Linked DNA regions of Macaca mulatta. The protein of the gene in region 1 interacts with the protein of each later gene in a biochemical or structural test. Links are inferred from orthologs where the notes say so. Each region holds a gene or a part of one and is shown in the gene's direction. Other genes may lie near its edges.

Region 1 (3,008 bases):
TTTCTCTAGTTGTTTATGGTCCATCTTCTATTTTAGCATTTATTATTCCATGTAGTCTATCCAAAGACGATTAAGGGAGTTCCAAATGTTTTCCGGAATATTTTGAAAAGAGAGCTTATCCAGTGTACAGATCCTAATAAAGTGCACATTCAGTGTAATTTTATTTTTTAGTATGTTACTTTTTAAATTCTATTTATTTTTCTTTCTCTTTTGCTCAGTAAATTTTGCATGAAACTTTAAAAGTACTTCTGGCATGTAAACATTATTTGTAAAATAAGTCATGGTTATAATTATTTTTCTCCTGCCTCCTTATGTATTTATTTCAGAAATGAGCCGTCAGACTGCTACAGCATTACCTACTGGTACCTCGAAGTGTCCACCATCCCAGAGGGTACCTGCCCTGACTGGCACAACTGCATCCAACAATGACTTGGCGAGTCTTTTTGAGTGTCCAGTCTGCTTTGACTATGTGTTACCACCCATTCTTCAATGTCAGAGTGGCCATCTTGTTTGTAGCAACTGTCGCCCAAAGCTCACATGTTGTCCAACTTGCCGGGGCCCTTTGGGATCCATTCGCAACTTGGCTATGGAGAAAGTGGCTAATTCAGTACTTTTCCCCTGTAAATATGCCTCTTCTGGATGTGAAATAACTCTGCCACACACAGAAAAAGCAGACCACGAAGAGCTCTGTGAGTTTAGGCCTTATTCCTGTCCGTGCCCTGGTGCTTCCTGTAAATGGCAAGGCTCTTTGGATGCTGTAATGCCCCATCTGATGCATCAGCATAAGTCCATTACAACCCTACAGGGAGAGGATATAGTTTTCCTTGCTACAGACATTAATCTTCCTGGTGCTGTTGACTGGGTGATGATGCAGTCCTGTTTTGGCTTTCACTTCATGTTAGTCTTGGAGAAACAGGAAAAATACGATGGTCACCAGCAGTTCTTTGCAATTGTACAGCTGATAGGAACACGCAAGCAAGCTGAAAATTTTGCTTACCGACTTGAGCTAAATGGTCACAGGCGACGATTGACTTGGGAAGCGACTCCTCGATCTATTCATGAAGGAATTGCAACAGCCATTATGAATAGCGACTGCCTAGTCTTTGACACCAGCATTGCACAGCTTTTTGCAGAAAATGGCAATTTAGGCATCAATGTAACTATTTCCATGTGTTGAAATGGCAATCAAACATTTTCTGGCCAGTGTTTAAAACTTCAGTTTCACAGAAAATAAGGCACCCATCTGCCTGCCAACCTAAAATTCTTTTGGTAGGTGGAAGCTAGACACATGAAGGTAAATGAAAGGAAAGGCTGTTAAATACAGGAAACAGTTGCATGTAGTAACACTAATATATTTAAAAATAAGTCAACAGTAAACCACTGAAAAAATATATGTATATACACCCAAGATGGGCATCTTTTGTATTAAGAAAGGAAGCATTGTAAAATAATTCTGAGTTTTGTGTTTGTTGTAGATTGATTGTATTGTTGAAAAATAGTTTTTTTGTTTTGTTTTTGCGTGGGAGTGTGTGCGTGCGTGGGTGTGTGCGTGTTTGGGTTTTTCTCCTTTAACTGACAAGCCATCTTGAGTGGTCATGGGCCACTGCTTTTCCCCTTTGTGAGTCAATACATAGTGCTGCTGTGTGCTTTTTTGTGTGTGTATTTGCTAATTTTTATTAATTTTAGTTTTTCATTAAATAAATTTGACTTTCCTTTCTGTAATTCAGGTTTTTCTTCACTTTTTTTGTACCATTTTAAAGTTAGTGTCTTTTGATATGCATACTTGTTATGGTAAAAGTTTGTAACATGTGTTCAATATTTTCTTTTCCCCCATTAATCAGTTCATTAGAAATATTTTAAAATCAGCTACTTTGTGAAGCTATGAGTTCCAGAAAGTAAAGGTGACATCGGAAAAATGATCAAAAGCTATTTAAAGCATCTGTAAGATGGTCTCTCTCTTTCTCTCTTCTACGGATGAGTCACACCTTTGAGCTTAATCTTTGAAAGGTTAGAGAATAAATTGATTTTTATAAGTACTGCAAATCAGGCTTTTGTTTCCTTTTTCAAATATCTTGGATAAATCACATGTTTAAAATTTGTTCTTGTATTTATTGGTTTTGCAAAAGAAGGCATCGTCATGCACAGTATTTGTAATTAAAAGCAAATCATTTGTTTAAAAAGGCAGTTTGCAAAAAAATGTTTTTGGTCTTTTATAATTCTCATTAAAAGAATTTCTGGCAAATTAAAAAAATCTTACTGTGTCTGCTTTAGCTCTAAGTTTGATAAAATCCAAAGTTATTTTCCTGTTTCATTCCGTACTTTAATTATATAGCAGAAAGCTGTGTGTTGTCATTTTTAAGTGTGGTAGAGTTATACTCTAAATCACAGCAAATAACTGGGTATATGGCTTCTGGATTACAGTCTTTCCCATGCTCTGCCCCTCTTGCCCACATTTTGATTCTTACAACTGTCAGGAGAATGACTAAAATGCTGACCACTTTTCACCTCTTTAAAAAAGCACAATGAAATAATAAATTTACTATTTCATAGCCTAGTGGTTAAGAGCCTTGGTTCTGCAGCCAGACTTCAGGCACCTAAGTGCCAGTCTCGGCTCTACCCCACTAACCAGCTGTGTGACCTTGGGCCCCAGTTTCCTAATGTGTAAAGTGGGGTTAAATTATGGTAGCTACTTAAAAAGTTTTAATGGGGTACAGGTATGTTACCTGAAACAGTGCTTTGTTCATATCAGCATCCAGTGAATGTTAGCTACCATTATGCCTTTAGTACCATGTAGTTAACTGTTGCTAATTACTTTGAGGCACATGGCAAGATTCTGAAATTGCCTTCTGAATAGTGAAAGATAATTTTGTGTGGTTTGTATTGGTACTGTAAGCCTAGAAAGTTAATGAAAATTTGGACTTCACCCTTATCCCACCACTGATTCTGGATAATTTTGGATAAGAGTTTATTTCTGTTATCCATTTTCAGAAAAGATGATTGTGTAGTCT
Region 2 (3,868 bases), on another chromosome or scaffold:
GAGGTTAAGAAGAATGGGCTGAAACAAGGCCATTGGATTAGGCAATTAGGAAGTCATTTACCTTCAAGAACACGAGCCTATAGTGCATTAACGAGTGGGGGGGAGATGGATTAAGATGTGGGCATTGAAGAAAAGGGAGCATAAACCATTGATCACAGGTGAGAGGAGGGAAAGAATTAAGAGGGGGGAATGCGGCTGTTACTCCTTTTGCCTTCCACATTGGGCTTTTGTGTGTGCACACGCATGAAGGCAGAAGAAAAAGATGAGGTGATTGATTCATTTGGCCAGCCATATTAAGTTCCTACTGAGTACTTGGATCCAATTAAGTGCAGGGAGAAGTAGAAAGCTACGAGAGAAAGAACAGTGGTGGAAGCAAGTTCAAGAGAAAATGGGACAAATACGGATCATGAGAATCGGGAACTTTTTTAGTATTGGAAAAAAGCAACACCTCTTTCTCTCAGACTGGAGAGAAGGAATGAAGGAGGATGATGCAGATTCAGGAATGTTCTGAAATGAAGAAGGAAATAAAGGAGGAAAGTAAGGCTGACCTCAGGCTTCTGGACAAAGTGGAAGTTGGGTCATTACTGAGAGAGAATGCGGGCTAGGGTGATGGTCGATGGAGTGGAAAGCATGTTAAATAACCACTCTAGGTAATGCCAGGGGCTCAGAGAGACAGGAACACTAGGTTAGCCAACCACCAGCAGGGCTTGCAGACGCTCCACTTCCTTGTGGCTTCTGTGAGAAATGTTTGTTGACTGTGGCTTAGAAGATGGGCAATGTTTGTTACTCTTTTAACTTTTAAGGAGTTATCCTTCTTCATTACCTTATTATTTTTGCTTAATACATTTTCTATGAATTTTTGTTTCAGTGTCACCATAATTTATACAAGTGTTCCAGAATAATGGTCTTATAGGTTTCTAAGTTTATCTAAATTGTGGATGAGATGTTGGTATGAAATAATAGTACTTTTGGTCAGACATGATGGCTCACGTCTGTAATCCCAGCACTTTGGGAGGCTGAGGCAGGTGGATCACCTGAGGTCAGGAGTTTGAGACCAGCCTGGCCAACATGGTGAAACCCCATCCCTACTAAAAATTCAAAAATTGGTCGGGTGTGGTGGCACGAGCCTATAATCCCAGCCTTGGGAGTCTGAGGCAGGAGAATGACTTGAAACCTGGGAGGCGGAGGTGGCAGTGAGCCGAGATCGTGCCCTTGCACTGCAGCCTAGATGACAAGAGCGAGACTCAGTCTCAAAAAACAACAACATCAACAACAACAAAAAATAGTACTTTCTAGAGAAATGTATTGATATATGAATTTAGCAGGAAAAGTGAGTGAACTGTGCCACAAATTGTGCTACCCAGTCCCCACCAGTAAGGCTAATAAAATGTTTTACGCTGTTGAAATGAAAAATATCAGACCAACTGCTGATCCACTCAACCCTACCGAATTCATTTACGGTGACAAAGATGCCAGGTGGTAATTAGAATTAGGGTTCATCCAGGATCCAGAAGATCCTGAGTGGCCTGGTGTTGGGGCCTGTTTGGGAAGATGTTTCCTCAAACCAGTGAACCTGACAGGGTCTGTCCACAAGGCTGAGCTGATTATGTGGGCAACAAAGTATGTGACAGTTAGCATAGCCTCCTGAGTTTCAGTAGGAAGCAACCCAGGGAGAACTGAAGAAGAATCCATTTCTGTCACAAATAATGTTTATTTTAAAAAATGATGACTTATGTCCTGATATTGGAATTCTGTTTCTGAGTCTCAACTGTGTTGCTGGCACCTAATGGTGGCAGGTGGCACCCTGGAACCACTTGGTTCCATAAACTCAGTGACCAGAACGTGCTTCTGGGTGGAATAGATTGACTTTTTCAACCTTGTTTTCAAGTGGGAAGGAAACATTCTGTGTGGCCCAAACCAAGATGAGAACTGAAGGGGATCTGTTGAGTTTACTTATACCAAGCTGAATCCGATACTTACTTTTCGTTTTCCTTTCCTTGTAGGTATGGCCTCACATGTGCAAGTTTTCTCCCCTCACACCCTTCAATCAAGTGCCTTCTGTAGTGTGAAGAAACTGAAAATAGAGCCGAGTTCCAACTGGGACATGACTGGGTACGGCTCCCACAGCAAAGTGTATAGCCAGAGCAAGAACATTCCCCCGTCGCAGCCAGCCACCACAACCGTCAGCACCTCCTTGCCGGTCCCAAACCCAAGCCTACCTTACGAGCAGACCATCATCTTCCCAGGAAGCACCGGGCACATCGTGGTCACCTCAGCAAGCAGCACTTCTGTCACCGGGCAAGTCCTCGGCGGACCACACAACCTAATGCGTCGAAGCACTGTGAGCCTCCTTGATACCTACCAAAAATGTGGCCTCAAGCGTAAGAGTGAGGAGATCGAGAACACAAGCAGCGTGCAGATCATCGAGGAGCACCCACCCATGATTCAGAATAATGCCAGCGGGGCCACTGTCGCCACTGCCACCACGTCGACTGCCACCTCCAAAAACAGTGGCTCCAACAGCGAGGGCGACTATCAGCTGGTGCAGCATGAGGTGCTGTGCTCCATGACCAACACTTACGAGGTCTTAGAGTTCTTGGGCCGAGGGACATTTGGGCAAGTGGTCAAGTGCTGGAAACGGGGCACCAATGAGATTGTAGCCATCAAGATCCTGAAGAACCACCCGTCCTATGCCCGACAAGGTCAGATTGAAGTGAGCATCCTGGCCCGGTTGAGCACGGAGAGTGCCGATGACTATAACTTCGTCCGGGCCTACGAATGCTTTCAGCACAAGAACCACACGTGCTTGGTCTTCGAGATGTTGGAGCAGAACCTCTATGACTTTCTGAAGCAAAACAAGTTTAGCCCCTTGCCCCTCAAATACATTCGCCCAGTTCTCCAGCAGGTAGCCACAGCCCTGATGAAACTCAAAAGCCTAGGTCTTATCCATGCTGACCTCAAACCAGAAAACATCATGCTGGTGGATCCATCTAGACAACCATACAGAGTCAAGGTCATCGACTTTGGTTCAGCCAGCCACGTGTCCAAGGCTGTGTGCTCCACCTACTTGCAGTCTAGATATTACAGGTAAGACTGTCCACACGGAGACAGGAGTGGCACTCACAGAAAATGTGCAGCCTTAGTCACTGTGGTGAGATAAAATTATATGTCTACAGTTCTTACCTTCAAGTGATCTTAATGTACTTAGGAAATTAGGACATGTGCACATTGCGATGTCAATTAGAAGTCACATTAGAACGGAGCCAGGTAAGATCCGTGGCATAGGCATTCAGTTTTGGAAGGGCTCCCTGGGACCTGGGGTGCAGAGCAGAGGCGAAGCAGAGGAGTTCCGTCCTCCCAGATGGGTAGGATCCAGGCAGGTGGTGGAGAGAGAGGGACGTGCCATCCACAGTCCACAGTCACACTAGTAGGAATTTACAGGAGACAAGAAGGACACCCGCCTGGCCAGAACAGTTTGTGAGTGGTGGGAGATGTAAGTGAAAGGACGGGTTGGAACCAGGTCACTGGGGGTCTTAAATGTCAGATCAAGGAATTTCAACTGTGTCCTCAAACCCAGAGCAAGTCCTGGAAACCTTGAACAACATAAGGTAATGGGGTGAAAAGGATGTTCTGAGAAGGTTCCTTGTCTATCCATGTGCAGAAGGGCTGGAGGAGGGGAGAGACTAGTCTGGGGCCAGCTGGCTGGCTCCGGTGGTGAGGTGACTCCAGGCTTGGGTCAGGATGATGGAGGAATGATAGTGTCTGTGGCAGGGAAGTGTGTTCAGTCATGGACTCACACATGCAGTCATTCAACAAGCTTTGATTTTACTTCTAACATGTGCCAGGCACAGTGCTAGGTATAGGGATG
Region 3 (4,600 bases), on another chromosome or scaffold:
TACTTCCACACTTTGGTATATCAATTTGTAGTTAGAATTTGGCAAGGGTATGTACAGGAGAAGCAAACCAATAAACAGTCCAAGGAAAGCAAACACACAGCCTATGTGGGAAAGTGTATATAAGCCTAGATTTAAATCACACTGTAAAAACAATCACATGGAAACAATGCTAAATATGTAATCAAAAACATGTTAGAAACCAAAAAAAATAACAAAAGAACTATAAAAAATAGAGGAAAATATCCGAAACAACAACTCAAAAGATTGCTCTTTTACACTGTGGCATGCTATTCCCTTGGCTATGCAAAAAAAAAAAAAAAAAAAAAAAAAAAAAAAAACAACAACAACAACAACAAAAAACACTTTATTTATTTCCCAGGACAACCCACTTTCTGTACATACAGCAGTATCAGGCCCCTTCTTGTTGAATCATTTACACTGAATTAACACCTGGCTCGACCAGAGCTAATGAATATTTAGGACAGTTGGAAGGAGATGACCATTTATAATTCTTCAGTAAATGAATCCTTCAATAAATTAAAATGATTTTCAAAAACAGGGTGTCAAAATATTTAAGAGAATGGAAATAAAGTATGTTCTCTGTAGATCATGTCAAGGGTGACACCAATCCCATCCATATCTACTGGATGAAAGCAAGATGTGCTTTTCTCAAAATTTACACTAGGAAAAAAAAAAAAAAAGAGGCAGTTTTATTTTAACCAGATGTGAACAAATCAAACCCAATATTTTCAAGTATTTTTAGTGCCACATGATGTCATCCAATTTTATATTTTCTACTGGGGGATAATGTGTATTTTTAAAATTGTGAAGCCACTTTCCATGTATGTACTTAAGTCTTACACACGATAAATTACAATAAACAAATTACAACAGCACAGGACATGATCTTGGCTGTTTATGTCAACAGCCAAGAAAGACATTTAGGTTTCAGTAGGAAATGGAATTAGACACATGTGAAATGTCTTCCGCTGGCATTCAAGGTAGTCCTCATTTCAGTGACGATGGTCCTGGTCCAAACAGGTCCAGGGCAAGCATTACTCTGCCTATGCCCTCCTAGTACAGCGCAGCCTGTGGACTCCACAAAGACTGAAGGCAGTCTTAGGCTAGTTATTCAGGAAACCCCAGCTTTAAACAACCAGAGCCTTCCTTTTTTGTTGTAACAAGATCACACATCCCCATTGCTACTACCCAGATAGTGCCGGGTGTCCCAGGATCTTGGCACTGCTCTTGTCCTCTGGAACTGGCAAGGGAATGAAGATGCCTCTAAACTGACCAAGACTTACTTCCTCACGCTTTTCTCTGGGGCAGCATCAGGCAAGCAGTCATACCCTGGAACAAGAGTGTGGTCCTCAATGGCTTTGCTGAGTGAACTTCTCCGAGTCATCTCGCCTGGGAAAGAGATTTCTCAAAGATCATTTAAAGCTTTCCAGAGGGCAACAGCAAGACAGTCGTGAGCCAAGGTTACCATAAATGCTTCCACAACCCCTGATTTCATTTCGGAAATAAGGAAAGAAGTAGTCACCACTGCAGGCGTTGCTGACTCCTCATCCAGCAGCCTCCCACCCCCAATCCCTCAACAATTAAGATACAATAAAAGTAAAGTTAATATTACTGTAGGGCCATTGGTACATTGAAACGTCGTTGAATTAAAAAGTCTTTATTTCAGCCCAAGATCTTCTCCATCCACCCACACTTGAGCACAGAACATTCCAGGCAGGCAAAGCCACCCGTGCCCTCCTCTCCTTGGCCACGTCCTCAGGGGTGGGCGAGCTTCGGGGAGAGGGGTGGGGGTGACGACTCCGTGCCAACGCAAAATACTCTGCCAAAAGGCTTCTCAGACACGAGTTTCCCAGGGCCATGCCCACCTTCCGTTCCCCGCCTTCCTGAGTCTCTTCTCCCGGTTTATGCTGGAACCCTGGAATGGTCTGGGGACCAATGAGATGGCAGCGGTTGACGCTTGGATCACGGTGAGGGGGCGATTTCCAGGGGGAGAGGCCGCGAAGCAAGGAAGGGGGGGCAGGAGGAGAAAAGTGGGAAGCGGGGACAAAAAGTAGGCGGGGAGGAGAGGAGAGCCCCAGTTGGGGAAAAGCAACGGCAGTCGAGGTAAAAAGAGCGAAAGGTAAAGAAAGAGCAGGTTCGTGAACAGGAGCCGGCGGGCAGGCCGGGGGATCCCGGGCGAGGAAGCGGCGAGGGAGGGGCGTGGGCCGGGCCGGGGGCCCAGCGGGGAGGGTCACTGTCAGTCAGGCTGAGCTGGGCTCGCTGGCCGGGGGGCGGCCGCAGGGGCGCAGCGCAGCCTGAGGGCGCGGCAGCCCCAGCAGCCTCGGCAGTGGCAGTGGTGGCCGCGCCCCCGTCCCCGGCCGGGCGCCCGCGCTGCGTTCCGCGTACCCCAGCGCCGGTTCCGGCCGGCGGCCGCCCAGGCTGCCCCCGCCCGCGCGCGCCCGTTGGGGGGCCCAGGGAGCTGCGCCCGCGGCCGGGCCGCATTGTGACGTAGCGGGGCCGCGGCAGCGCCTCCGCCGCTCGCCTGCTCCCGCCGAGGCTGTTCTGCTCCCGCCGCCGCAGTCCGTCCGTCGGTCCGTCAGTCCCTTCGCGCTCCTGAGCCGCCGGCGCGCGTGGCGCCCCGGGTGAGTCCAGGTCCCAAACGGACCCCGCGGGGAGGCGGGGGGCGAGGAGCTGGCGGCTCAGCCTTTCCAAGTTTGCACCAGGCGACCCTGGCGGGTGTCGCCCCGTGCTCCCCAAGCCCGGGGCCCCCTTTGTGCCGCGAGTCTCGGCTGCTTGGGACAGCAGAGGCGTCTCTGCAGAAAGGGTTTGGGGGGAGGTCTCTATAGTAACAGTGGTGGCGGCAGCGGCTGTTTTACTGGGGAAAGGGGGAAACAACCCCCGCCTCGGTTTCCAAAGGATTGTTCTTTTCATTTGCCTGCCTCATGTGGTTCTTATTCTTGCTGCCACCCGGGATCGTATCGCAGGCAGGGATGGGCAGTGCCGCGGCTCGGAAGAGCTGAGGTAAGGAGGGGCGAAGTAATAGTAATAGCGACGGTACTAACAACGGTAGCAATAGCTGTAGAAGAGGGACGTCTGGTGTTGCTGCCGCCCCTCGCTCATCAGCACGGGCTCCCCGACTGCCCTGTCCAGCCCGGGCTCTGTCAGCCTCCCTCTAATGCTGTCCTGCGTCCCAGGCTGGTCCGCGTCAATTTCAGCGGGGACTGTTTCTCTCTTGGCCTTCTCTCTTGGCGATGACTTTCATCTGCAGGTGGTAAGTGGGGTGAACCCAATTTTGGCTATTGTCAAAGGCCACATTTTGTTTATTTCATTTTTACGAAAAGAAAAGAGGGAAAATTATGAGCCATTACTGGCAGCCATACAGTTTCCACAGGAAATACTAGCATTCTTTGAGGAACACGCTACTGCTTGCAGCGAAGAAAGTCTTAGGAAACAAAAAGGCAACAGCATTGTTGCTCATTTTCAATGGACCTCTAGGAGGGGGGAAACGTGTTGTTTTTTCCTGTGGTAACGTTGCTTTCCTTGGGAAAGTTAATTAAGGAAGCATTACTGTCGGTGCCCCTTTTTCACTTGCTGGAGGCAGGGTCCGATTCCTCTTGGCTGTTACTGACAAGTGCCCATCAAAGAGCCCAGAGGAAGAGAGAACTGCTGCAGGACAGTCTCGCCACACACCACGTGCCGTGGAGCCTGGCCAGGGTGCAGTTTGCAAAATGAAATAAGGGCTGTCTGGGGAGGTTTATGAGGATTACATGTGTGCAAAGTATGTCAGTTCTCCAAGGTGTCACTCTAAACACGTAATTTTCAAGCACTACTTTCGTTGCTGAATCTGCAGGAAGGGAAAAACCTAGTTTTCTTTTATGGAGCAGACATCTCAATTGGGAATGGGTTGAAATCTGTATTTCATTTGTACATATTGAAAATTTAAAAAGCAAAGAACAAGGTGTAGGAAAGCAGTATGCTAATGTGTACACATCTGGGAGAGAAAGTCTGTTGGCTGTTTCTAATGCATCTCAATGTTAAATTACATTCAGCATGGTTAGAGTACAAGGAGACACCTTTAAGGAGTCCTCAAGACTATTTGAAAGGTGCTGTATTTTGGTACTGATCGCGGAAGTCTCTCTAGAAAGGGAGTATTAACTGAGGATTACCCATAACTAAATATGTATGCATTAACAGGTCTGGAATCAGAAAGTAGAAGATAGTGCTTCTCTTAAGAATCTTTTGGACATCTCAGTTAGAATAAAATACAGAATGGGATTTTGAAAAGAAGGGGTATAATTTTGAGTATAAATTTCATTTTCTCCATAGCAAGCGTTTCATGAAGAAAGGTTACAGATAGTAGATTTGAAATGATGCTGCATTCATGAATTTGACTGTTACCATTTGTTGATATCCAAAAGGAAGTGACTAAAGCAAATGCATTTCTCTGTCTACTTTGTCACAACTTTGCTAATTCCAGACAGTTGTTCTGGTGCAGGTGTACAGTGGAAATGCAAGCCAAGAAACTGTGTGTGCTATTGTTTTGGAAGAAATTGTAGCAGTACTTTACTGCTCTTAAGGGAAACCCACACAAACATCTAAT
Region 4 (3,868 bases), on another chromosome or scaffold:
ACTTAGGGGAGCAGACAGATCCATGAGGAGATGAGCACTTTGGGGTGCGGGCTCATCTGAGAAGGACCATGGGCTCCAGGGACATTGCTTTTCACAGCCACAGCTCCGGAGCAAGCCCCCGCCCCGGCCCGGCCATACCAGGGCGTCCGCGTGAAGGAGCCAGTGAAGGAACTGCTGAGGAGGAAGCGAGGCCACGCCAGCAGCGGGGCAGCGCCTGCACCTACGGCGGTGAGAGTGTGTGTGTGTGTGACAGGGTGTGTGTGTGAGACAGAATGTGTGTGTTAGAGATAGTGTGAGAGTGTATGTGTGTGTGAGGGAGTGTGTGGGTGTGTGAGAGAGTGTGTGAGTGCGTATGTGTGACAGTGTGTGAGAGTGTGTGTGTATGAGTGTGACAGAGTAGTGTGTGTGAGTGTGAGAGAGAATGTGTGTGTGTGTGTCAGAGTGTGTGAGAGTGTATGTGTGTATGAGGGAGTGTGTGAGAGAGTGTGTAGGAGAGTATGTGTGAGAGAGCGTATGTGTGAGCGTGTGTGAGAGTGTGTGTGAGTGTGACAGAGTAGTGTGTGTGAGTGTGAGAGAGAATGTGTGTGTGTGTGCGTGTCAGCGTGTGTGAGAGAGTATGTGTGTATGAGGGAGTGTGTGAGAGTGTAGGAGAGTATGTGTGAGAGAGTGTATGTGTGAATGTGTGTGACAGTGTGTGTGAGAGTGTGTGTGAGAGTGTGTGTGAGTGTGTGTGAGAGAGAGTGTAAGAGTGTGTGCATGTGAGAGTGGTGTTTGTGTGTGTGTGTGTGAGAGTGTGTGCGTGTGTGTGCAGGCAGACGGGTTGGGAGGTGACCAAGGGGATCAGGCAGGAAGGAGTGCAGGTCGCATGGTGGAGGCTGCCAGGCATAGAGCCAGGGTGGAGCAACCGGGATGAGGGATTGGGACTGGCTCAGTTGGCCCACTGAACACAGCTACTGTCAAGGCCTGAGTGAGCGAATGACTCATATACCCTGGTGTGAGTTGGGGGCTCACCCTGAGAAGAGGAAGACACCAGCTCCCTGAGCACACAGACTTCCTGCTAAATGGAAACACAAATCCCTCAAGTGTAGGTGGTGATGGTTGGGATACCGGGTGGGGTGTTTTGTTCTAACCAGAGAGTTTCCTATCTTCTACTCTCCTGCCCCGAGGCCCTCTGGACAAGTTCCCTGCACAGGGCCAGTTGGCAATGGCTAAACACTGACCCTGGTCTCCTCTCCCCTCTAGGTGGTGCTGCCCCATCAGCCCCTGGCGACCTACACCACAGTGGGTAAGAGTGCCCCGTAGCCCTGGTGGCCCCCAGGCCTCTCATCTGGGTGGCATCTGCAGTTCTGAAATGTCCTTCTTCCCACAGGTCCTTCCTGCCTGGACATGGAAGGCTCTGTATCTGCAGTGACGGAGGAGGGTGCTCTGTGTGCCGGCTGGCTCTCCCAGCCCACTCCGGCCACCCTCCAGCCCCTGGCCCCATGGACACCTTACACCGAGTATGTGCCCCATGAAGCCGTCAGCTGTCCCTACTCAGCTGACATGTATGTGCAGCCCGTGTGCCCCAGCTACACGGTGGTGGGGCCCTCCTCAGTGTTGACCTATGCCTCTCCGCCACTCATCACCAATGTCACGGTACGTCACACAAAGGCAGAGCTGCACCCGCCCATGCTGAGTGCACCCTTTTAGAACCAGCGCTGAGTTGCCAACCCTGATCTTCCTTGCTATTGATTCTCAGGATAATCAGGTCATCAAAGCTTGCCTTGTCCTCCACGGAGGCCTGCTCTGATTCTCATTTGCTGAAATATCTTTCACAAAGATGTCTCACAGCCTCTCTTGTCATCCTTTCTGCTCCTCAGGACTGGGGAGGTCTTCTCTGATTCCCTGTTCTAAATCTCCCCAGCTTCCCTGCAAGCAGTGAGTCTTGGTGTTGAGTTGAAGTTTTTAGTGAATGGGGTACCATGTGAGATCTACATGGGGTCTTGTGTTGGAACCAGGCTTTCCTTTCTATTCAGATAACTTAGGGAGTGATCGTTCACTTAATAATGGGACTTAACAGAAGATTTCTAGGCTGAACAACAGGTGATATTTTTGATGGCGTCAGACCCACTTGTGGGGTGATTTTTTAAAGTTCTGTCTCTATTGTCAGATTGCCTGTGTTCAAATCCCTGCCCCTTCACTTATTAGCTATGTGACTCTGGGTTTAGTGACTTAAAACTCTCTGAACCTCAGTGTCTTCATCTGTAAAATGGGAATACCAAGAAAAGGGTCATTGTCAGGATCAAATGAAATAATACATGTGGAGGGCTTAGCAGTGTCTGGCATACAGAAATCACTAATATGTATTAGTTATTATCATCATATCAAAATCTGCTAACATTAACTAAGGGCCTGATGGGAAAGGAAGAGCCTCTTCCCCCGGGAGTGAAGGAAGGAGAGGAAATAGATTTATATTAATGGTGCCTATTTGACTAAAGGAATGGGAATTTTGCAAGTGTTCAAGGGCAAAAAGACCTGTGGTTACAGCTGTATTCAGCTCCAGTCCAGGGAAACCGTGAGAAGTAGAGCTTGGCCTTCAGCAGTCCCAGAGCCCACCTTCGATGGTGGAGCTTGCTTTGGTCCACCTTGTCTCCTCCATTTCCCTCCAGGGTCCAGTGTCATCCTGATGCACCTGCCCCTGCCTCCAAGCACCTTCTATGAAAGGCCTGCAGGAGCCCTTCCATCCCAGGTCCACCTGCTACCCAGCAAACCAATTTTGGAGGCTGGATGATGATAGATAAGAAGGAGTTAATCCAACTCCCTCTCCCAGGCACCTCATTTCCATGTCAGGGAGCCTGGGGAGAGGGTGGTGGGTGGAGGACTCATGGTTTCCAGCCATTTCATTACCAAGGATTCCTTTCATTGTTTATCCCTTTTCATCATTCCCACGTTTTGCTTTGAAAAGTTCTGTATATCAAACAAACGGTATTTATTAAGAATTAATTTATTTGTTTTGCCATTTTGTGAATTAACTCATCAAAGCTGTCTAGAGCTATAAGTCCACACTCCTGATCAGCAGAGATAAGACCTGCTGTGGTGCTGAGTGGATGTAATTCTATTCCCCAGCAAATAAACCTATAGTTGCAATAGATTTGTACAGGTGTATGACTGGGAAATGTAGAATTTCCATCTGGATTTTTGAAAGCTGGGAATAATGAGGCTTTCCCGGATTCTGTCTGGTTTCAGGACACTGGGATAGGGACCACTGGCTTACACCTCAGTCCGGATTTTGGAAGGCTGGAAGGCCTCTGAGACCATTTCCAGCTCTATCATTCTATGCAAAAACACCCTAAAATCTTGCTACTCAAACTCTGGTCCCTGGACTGGCCACATTGGAGTCCCCTGAGATCTGATTAGATGTGCAAAATCCCAGACTTCTTGTGCCAGAAGCTGTATTGTAACAAGATCTGCAGGAGGTTAAGAAAAGCCTTGCCCTAAATGATTCTAACAGTTTGCTGTCAAGACACACTGACAATAGGAGCAATATGTGACAGGAGAGACGGGGATGGTAGGGAGAGATTTTGGCATCTCTCTCATGAATCCATGCAAAGAGCATCCTCTTCTATCTGCTTTCCTCAAGTGTGAAAGGGAAGTTAAGAATCCAGGCCCCGCCTCTGTTGCAGGCCTGACCTGAGGTTTGTGAGGGAAGTCGCCCGTGCAGGTGAGAGGTATGACTCGTAGAGCAGGCAGGAGAAGGACTCTAACCCTTGGAGGGTCATGGTGGGTGCCCGTAAGTGGGACAACGATGGAGATCAGCTCAGAGACAGAGGAGGAGGAGGATGTGGAAGGCACCAGGCAGCAGCAGGAAGCAAGGCCAAGTTTGCTGACA

Evidence for each region.
Region 2: of the proteins of SIAH1 (region 1) and HIPK2, one has a biochemical effect on the other in vitro, tested with the Homo sapiens proteins (4 studies listed by BioGRID, with this or other methods). The link is inferred for Macaca mulatta from reciprocal best matches to the Homo sapiens genes SIAH1 and HIPK2.
Region 3: the proteins of SIAH1 (region 1) and SNCAIP form a complex in vitro, tested with the Homo sapiens proteins (2 studies listed by BioGRID, with this or other methods). The link is inferred for Macaca mulatta from reciprocal best matches to the Homo sapiens genes SIAH1 and SNCAIP.
Region 4: the proteins of SIAH1 (region 1) and POU2AF1 form a complex in vitro, tested with the Homo sapiens proteins (2 studies listed by BioGRID). The link is inferred for Macaca mulatta from reciprocal best matches to the Homo sapiens genes SIAH1 and POU2AF1.

The regions. Positions count from the first base shown.
Region 1 is NC_133425.1:43,773,262-43,776,269, reverse strand, and holds the end of SIAH1 (E3 ubiquitin-protein ligase SIAH1), read left to right. Parts: intron 1-326; coding exon 327-1,177; coding exon of another isoform or gene 1,178-1,280; 3' UTR 1,281-2,236; downstream 2,237-3,008. Other genes in the region: LONP2 (lon protease homolog 2, peroxisomal), read right to left, coding at 1,161-1,280. UniProt on the Homo sapiens protein: E3 ubiquitin-protein ligase that mediates ubiquitination and subsequent proteasomal degradation of target proteins.
Region 2 is NC_133408.1:179,551,686-179,555,553, reverse strand, and holds part of HIPK2 (homeodomain-interacting protein kinase 2), read left to right. Parts: intron 1-2,003; coding exon 2,004-3,087; intron 3,088-3,868.
Region 3 is NC_133411.1:131,301,082-131,305,681, forward strand, and holds the start of SNCAIP (synphilin-1), read left to right. Parts: upstream 1-1,720; 5' UTR 1,721-1,988; intron 1,989-2,006; exon of another isoform or gene 2,007-2,155; intron 2,156-2,240; exon of another isoform or gene 2,241-2,642; intron 2,643-4,600. UniProt on the Homo sapiens protein: Isoform 2 inhibits the ubiquitin ligase activity of SIAH1 and inhibits proteasomal degradation of target proteins. Isoform 2 inhibits autoubiquitination and proteasomal degradation of SIAH1, and thereby increases cellular levels of SIAH.
Region 4 is NC_133419.1:112,099,152-112,103,019, reverse strand, and holds part of POU2AF1 (POU domain class 2-associating factor 1), read left to right. Parts: intron 1-97; coding exon 98-228; intron 229-1,242; coding exon 1,243-1,285; intron 1,286-1,369; coding exon 1,370-1,635; intron 1,636-3,868. UniProt on the Homo sapiens protein: Transcriptional coactivator that specifically associates with either POU2F1/OCT1 or POU2F2/OCT2. It boosts the POU2F1/OCT1 mediated promoter activity and to a lesser extent, that of POU2F2/OCT2. It recognizes the POU domains of POU2F1/OCT1 and POU2F2/OCT2.